Sus scrofa: one gene and its partner. The protein of the gene in region 2 interacts with the protein of the main gene of each other region in a biochemical or structural test. Links are inferred from orthologs where the notes say so. Each region holds a gene or a part of one and is shown on either strand. Other genes may lie near its edges.

Region 1 (3,522 bases), on a different chromosome or scaffold from region 2:
TAGGAATTCTTTTTTCTGCTTTTTTGAGTAATGAATACATACTGTCTTAACTATTTTTTGCTTAGTATAACACGGAAGAAGATTTAACTAAATGTCATGTAGAAAACTCTTAAACATACTCCTTCTAGGAGTTCCCGTCGTGGCGCAGTGGTTAACGAATCCGACTAGGAACCATGAGGTTGCGGGTTTGGTCCCTGCCCTTGCTCAGTGGGTTAAGGATCCGGCGTTGCCGTGAGCTGTGGTGTAGGTTGCAGATGTGGCTCGGATCATGCGCTGCTGTGGCTCTGGCATAGGCCGGTGGCTACAGCTCCGATTCGACCCCTAGCCTGGGAACCTCCATATGCCGTGGGAGTGGCCCAAGAAATAGCAAAAAGACAAAAAAACAAAACAAAACAAAACATACTCCTTCTAAGTTGTATGCATACCAGTTATCTCACTGATAATTTTCAAAAAGTATAGTTATGAGTTGCACAAAATGAAAACAGGTGATGCATACTCTGGAAGCAAAAATAAATCCTAGAAAACATCAAATAGTTTTTTAAACTTTTTTAAAAAGTTTAAAACCTGAAACCTCATGGTTCCTGGTCGGATTCGTTAACCACTGCGCCACAACAGGAACTCCTAAACTTTTTTATTTTAGTTTTTCTGTTTGTGTTTTAATGTCAGTATTCCTTCAGAGATGTCACTCATTCTGTTTACTTTAAACAAAGCAATCAATCCATCCTTTGAAAACTTGATCTGGAAACCTACTGATAAGATGTCCTTGCTTCCATCAGAACTCTTTCCAGATCAGCTTATATAACTCCTGTTGTGACTAAGGATTATCAAAGCAGAACTGTTGTCTCTCAGCTGTAGCAGTTCTTCTACTTCCAACGTGTTTCCTGCTAATCCCATGAAAAATGAGTATAAATTTGTTAACAAAGCCAATAACTAGTCCAAATAGGTAAAAAAAAGTGGATGGTCATCAGGGAGAGAAAACACTCATCAGATACTGTTGGCTAGAGTAGATTAAACAAAGAAATGATATATGTGAGTTAAGTACCATAAGGTAAAAGGATGCCCCATGTTACCACGAAGCTAGTAATAGAAAAGTTTCAGTTTAAAAGGGATTTATCTGAAATAAACCATAATATGAATAATCCACACTGGACAAATAAGGTGGGTTTTTTTTTTTCCATTTACTAAAAGGTCAGTTTTATATGTTACAGCCTCATATTTGACTGAGAATCAGTACAGCCTGGAAGTCGAACATAACAGTTCTGAAGACAGATTGCTGGGTTGTAATCCCAGACTCTTGGGCAAGTTGCTTCCTTTATCCAAGCATCCCTTTCCTTAACTGAAAGGAGGAGGTGTAATTATTACACCTCTTTGTGCCTCAGTTTCCTCACTTGTAAATTAGGAAGAAAATCAGCACTTGCCTCATAAAATTGGCATGATGCTTAAATAGGTGAATGCATTCAAAGAACTCAACAAATGACACTTTCATTACTTTTAGCATCAGTATTAATATAAATCACTAGATATGGTGTAGCCAGTCACGTAGGAGATGGAATTTGTTTTCTGTTCCCATGATTTCAGGCAGATTCACCGATGCTGGCATCCCATTATCTAACCATCATATCAAAGAACATGGAGCTGGCCCCAGGCATATTTTCAGAATGTTAGCATCCTCTAACCATGAGAAATGAACATCCCCAACATGATTTTAGTTTCAAATGCTCCTTCACTTCCACTTCTGATTCTCGGTCATTTTTGAGATCTGACCTTGCCATTCCTCATGTATTATGGAGGGAATATATGGAAACTGAACAAACTTCTCAATTCACTGGTAAAATCCAATCCAAGTCTCACTGCTTTTGAGCAAAGGGTTGAATCCAGTAGCATGATGAATGACTATTCCTCAAAGCAGTCTTACATAAAGGCCATTTCGAAGGAACATGGACCTGTGCCAAACGATGTGGAGACCTAGCTGATCCCCAAGCGTCTCAGGCAGGTCACGTGGTCACAGGAAGGACAATATGCCAGAGCTGGGTAGGCAGCATAGAAGAAGCTGTCACCTGTGTATCCACAGCCTCAACCCACCGAGAAGTTCTTCATTCATTTCTGTAAGCTATATTAAAGGTTGCCTCATGAACCCCATCTTTAGAGCCCACTCAGTGGAAAGTTAATGCTTAAAATGTAGTTTGTAGTAAGCAGATGTTAGAGCTTTTCAGTTTGCCTCAAACCTGCCAGGGGTGGTATTTGATTAAATAAACTCAACGGCTTAAGTACTTAAATTGGATTTGAGATGTGCCTTATAAATGTCACTTGCAAAACATTTTCTCAGACTTCCCTTGTGCAATTACTATGTCCATTCTCCAGCCTTTGGTTATGCCCTGAAGAGGCCGTATTTTGACTGGGCAGAAGGAGGAATGTGCTTAATGTTGAGCAACCGAACCCTTTTCTTAGTCCGTGGTTTAATTGTTTCTGAAAATTGTCAATGCCACAGGCAACAATCATGTCGGGGAGTACGATGAGTTTGAATCACGAGGCCCCTACACCTCGCAGTCAGCTGGGGCGACAGGCCAGCTTCCAGGAACGGAGCAGCTCACGGCCACACTATAGCCAAACCACTCGGAGCAACACTCTGCCCTCAGATGTGGGCAGGAAGTCTGTCACCCTGAGGAAAATGAAACAAGAAATAAAGGAGATCATGTCCCCAACGCCTGTGGAGCTGCACAAGGTCAGGAAGCTTTCTTTTCTTCCCTTGGGGTCACATTTCGCAGGCATTGGGCACACCGTGGGCGTCCTGGTGCAAGCCTGATCGTGACATCCTACTGTGGGCTCAGCCCAGGGGAGAGGCCAGAGCAGTAAGGCAGATCATCAGAGATACTGTTCTCAAAACAAGATCTTTGAGCGGTGATCTCATAAAATGGGAAACATGGGCTTTCAAACAGGGGGTTGATCCAAAATGTATTTCTGGCTGAAATCTTCTCACAGAAGTTTGAGGTTCCAGGGTCACACGGTGCTTTAATGAATCGATCGGTTATTCCAACTTCATTGCAAAGGGGAAGGATTTTCTAAATGTCATTCATTGCTAGCTTCAGTGAAAAGGGATTTCAGTGGTGTTGGAAGCTTAATCATCAATTACAGACTTCTCAGTAGATGGGTATATTATTCAGGGGACTTGAAGTTCCCTTGGAGACATGATTCGGATGTCTTGGGTCAGGAGAGGGTAAGCCCTGGTTATGTTCCATCTCTGCTATGATAATTGCTTCACTGTACTTCTTGGAAGAAAACCCATGATTGCAAACAGAACTGAATTTGAGTTGCTGGCAGAGTTTAATAAGGCATATGTAGGTGACAGAGTCTGTGGAAGCCTGGGCCAGGGAAAGCAGTGAAAGGGAGGTTTCTCTTGTTTTCTTTTGTCAAACTCTAATGCTTGTTGTCGCTATTAATATGTAAGGATGTACAGATAATAACAATCTCAGCCCATTTTTCTTGGGAGCCAAGACCTTCGCTGTAGTTAATAATCTGTTGACT
Region 2 (4,228 bases):
TGATAAGTACTGAAGAAAATTAAAGTTTCCTAAAAGAGTCCAATGAATTCTTTTCTTTTTTACCAAAAGTTATTCAAACAGCAAAACTGAGAGGGGAAAAAATATGAAGTAACATCTCTCCATTTGAAATAACTTATTTTATAGATCCTTCCCCTCTTTCTTGGGTAATAAGAGGCGGAATTCAAAGAAAGAAAAGAAAAGAAAAGAAAAGAAAGGAAGGATGGATGTTATGGGAAATAAACTACAAAGGAGAATGATCATTCTAAAACTGAATTTCCACACAGAATCCAATGTGGGTGAGTTGAAAGTTCCATATCACTTTTTTATTATTCTAAAAATATCTGAATATCATCGAATGCAGAAAGTTTAAGATGGGCATGTTATAGTGATATTATTTGCCACCAGGATGCTGAACAATTTTGAATAAAATGTGATTCCCCTCTTTATTTGACCATGTTCACTTTGTAATTATTAGCAGGGCAGTAAATAATCCACTGAGAAGCAGTCTCATTAGTGTCCATTGAAATTCAGTGGCATTAATTTGCAAGAAAAGAACTGAAAATTAAATGGAAAAGAAAACTGTTTCTGGAGTCTACCATAAGGTTATGGAATTCACGTCCTATCAGTGCCTTCCTTCACATCAAGGAGTTTAAAATGTTGTGTGAATTAGATTTAATTGTCATATTTGATTCTAACACTTAAAAAAAGCGGGCAGAATAAATTCTTTTTCTCTTTCCATTTTAACCCTGCAGAAAACAAGTTAAAATGATTCGATAGAGGCCAACTTTTTAAAGTTTTGTTCATTGTTTGTGTTTTAAGTAATAACTCAGGATGGACCTGCTTGGCTGTGTGACATTCTAAGGTCCTCTGAGGGGGCTGAAGGATGTGGCAGATGTTCAGATACCCCCAGCGGCTGCCTCCAGAATTCTCTAGGGCCACGATGCACCTTCCTCCCGTTTCTTCTGCTATAAATATCTCTGGAAATAGATGCTGAATAGAAAAACGGCCCACAGCTTGCAATACAGAAGGGTCTGGGTGAGGGTGGAGGGCACGTCCACACACCAGCAGTGTCCAGCCAGGCAGTGCCTAACCCAGCATCCAGCCACCAGGGTGCTGGGAGGCCTCCCAACCCCACCCAGGCTATCCCTGTCCAGCAGCACCTAGGGTGCAGGTACCCACCAGGACCCCCTGCCTAAACCCTCTGCAAAGTCCATCAGGAAGAGAAGGGAGAAACTGTCAAAGGGAAAATGGGAGGAAGAGGAGCAAAGGAAAGTATAGGGTCTACTAGGGGGAAAAAAATAGGACAAAAAACACTTGCCTCTTAAGTCACAAAAGTGTTCCTGTCTATCCTGAACGACTAACTATCTGTTGCTTCTCCTGAGAATGAAAGGCACAGAACTGGGCTGAACCCATACACACCACTCCCAGGGCATTCTCAGCCCCGCAGGCCAGAAATGAAACTTAGCTGGCAGGGAAGTATTTCAAAACACTCGTGCTTCGATGTGGCATGTTTTTAACTCACAGGACAGTTATAAATCTCCGGCTGTCAGAAGTCTTCTGCCAGCAAGCTGCTCTGACACGGACTCCGCCAGATAACTCAGAAATCAGAAACTCCTTGAGACCCATTCAACCCTTGCTCATCTGAGCAGCGCTCGGTCAGTCCTACAGCCTCCCTCGGAGGTGGGACAGGGAGGACAAGCAAAGGGCTGCTAGGAACCGCTTCCCAAGGAAATGAGCACCCCCTCATCACCATCACCAGCTCACCAGCGGCACAGCGTGCACATAGCCAATCCGAAATTCTAGGTGAAAGGAAATTTTGCAAGCACGTTAAAACAAATTTGTAAAATAATAAGACTATGTAAAAAAGAAAACTCTGAGCTCCGCCTGCCCCAACACCTACAGCCAAAGCGGGACCTTTTCTAGGGACTCAAAGCACCTTGTGCTTATTTGGTCTGGGGCGTTTCTCCCCACAAATAACCTCTGCTTTGCACGGTTTTCTAATACTGGTTTAGTTGGAAAGCACACGGGGTTTCGGACCTGCTTCTCACGCAGACAGTAGGCGGGGTGGAGAGTAGAAATTTTTTTTTTTTTTTTTTTTTTTTTTAAGCTGCCAGGCCGGAGAACTTGACTCTCGAACGCGAGATCCACCCGTGACCCTGGGCCGGGTCGCGCCCTAGCCCTCGGGTCGCGCGTCCGCGGCGCCGGCGGCGGCCGGGCTGCCGGGTGCCCAGCCCCGCGGCCTGCGGGCCCCGCGAGCTCCCGGCGGCGCGGCCCCTCGCCCCCCGCTCCCTCCCGCCGCCGGGTGCGCGGCGGCCACCCCGACGTGGCGCGGCGGGCGGCGCGGGTACCTGTAGAAGGCGGGAGGGCCGGCCTCGCGCACCGCATAGCCGCTCGGCTCATTCTCCAGGTAATAGGGCACCTGTTGGCCGTGGGGGTGCAGGAAGGGCGAGAGCTGCGGCGGCGGGTGCAGCAGCACCAGCGGGCTCGGAGACACGCTGTTGAGCGGCTGGAAGCCCCCCAAGCCGTTGGCGCCGAACGCCGCCGCCTCCGACCCCGGGCCGTAGGCGAGGCCCGACTGGCCGTAGACGGGCGCGGAGGCGGCGGCCGCGGCGTTGAAGTCGTACGCGGCGCCCTCGGGGTAGTTATACACGGCGGGCTTGCTGCTGTCCACGTACACCTCGCCCAGGGGCCGCTCCAGGGGGATCTTGAGCTGCGGGCGGTTCAGGGGCTCCAGCTCGTTGGCTTGGATCTGGTGCAGCAGGGCCATGCCGGACGCTTTGGTGTGTAGGGTCATGGTCATGGTCAGTGGCCGCGGGCAAGGCGCAAACCGTTTCCCCCCGCGGCGGAGGGCTCAGCAGCCGGCCGGCCACCTGGAAGAAGAGCACAGCCCGCGGTTAGAGGCGGCGCGGCGCATGTCCCGCCGCGACGCGAGCTCTGGCCCTGCCCCGGGAGCCGGCCCGTCCCGGGGAGCGGGGCGGCCGGACGCGAGCAAGTGCAGCCCGGCGCGAGCGCGCTCCGCCAACTCCCGGGCCCGGGTCTCCAACTTTAAGTACCGGTCTCCCGAGCTCATATGCATTACAAAGGTGCTGGAAGCCGGCCAGGGGGCTGTTGCCTTGCCCTGACGTTGGCTTAAACATCACTCCAGGCGCAACTCGTTCTGGAGCGATCCCAAAGAGCAGCTTCCCTGAACTTTACTTTACTTGTCGCTGCTGGATAGAGGCTGCATTTCACTGCAGGAGGGCGGAGGCGCAGAGGGATCTCCTAAAGGTGGTCCGGAGATGACGGGGTTTAAAACAAACTCGGAAGACTAATCCAGGGGCCGGCTCTCTCGAACGTGCTACCTTATGTGCCCCGTGCCAGGCTCCAATCTATCTCTGTTTGTCTCTCTCTCTGTTGGATTCACGCTCCTCGTTGGCTGGAAATACGGAGTGTGTACAGAGAATGACCCTGGGGAGGACCACTCTGTAACCGAGATATGGCAGATAGAATGGGGTGTGCGGGTGCATAGGCAGACGGCTATATTTAGCAGCTCGGGGGACAGATAAGAGGCATCTGGGGGAAAGGGGGCGGAGACTCAAGGTGTACTATAGAAAGAGCTGCGTTTTGCAGTCAGGGGAGTGCTGCCCAGCTCAGTTCTCCTCATCTGCAAAATTCTCCCAAAGTCATCCCCTCCAGCCAAGACTATCTGAGATTCCCCCAGCCCGACTTGTCTGTTTGTCTTTGGCCGCAGTACTGTACTTGCTCCCATCAGGAATTCTAATGTGAATGACGATTTACAGAAACCTCCCGTTAGGCGGACATGGGTATTCATGCCTTCCACAGATTATGCAACCAAAACTTCAGAAAACTGAATATGAAATGTGACCTTTCCAGAAAAAAAGCATAACCTCGGCTCATTAACCAAATCTACACTGTTGGTCTCACCAAACACATTTTGAAATGCAATGATACATGTCTGTTCTTTTATCCTACAATTGGACCTTCTTGGTTCACTTGGACTAGGATAAGCAGAATCAAATATTCAGATTGGAAAAGAAATAGTAAAAAGTTCTGAACTGAATTAAAAGCTAAACATGCTCAAGCACATTATATATGTGTGTGTGTATAACAGATAATAATGTATATTACATAGCATGTAAAGTATATATAAGCATATATAAAAAGATATGGTAAATATATTTGCACCTGCAATCTTGGATAGTTTATACCTTTTAATAAACTTCCTTTG

Evidence for each region. The genes of interacting proteins can lie anywhere in the genome.
Region 1: the proteins of ESR1 (region 2) and GRIP1 form a complex in vitro, tested with the Homo sapiens proteins (2 studies listed by BioGRID and IntAct). The link is inferred for Sus scrofa from reciprocal best matches to the Homo sapiens genes ESR1 and GRIP1.

The regions. Positions count from the first base shown.
Region 1 is NC_010447.5:30,724,405-30,727,926, reverse strand, and holds part of GRIP1 (glutamate receptor-interacting protein 1), read left to right. Parts: intron 1-2,488; coding exon 2,489-2,722; intron 2,723-3,522. UniProt on the Homo sapiens protein: May play a role as a localized scaffold for the assembly of a multiprotein signaling complex and as mediator of the trafficking of its binding partners at specific subcellular location in neurons.
Region 2 is NC_010443.5:14,488,366-14,492,593, forward strand, and holds the start of ESR1 (estrogen receptor), read right to left. Parts: upstream 2,801-4,228; coding exon 2,349-2,800; intron 1-2,348.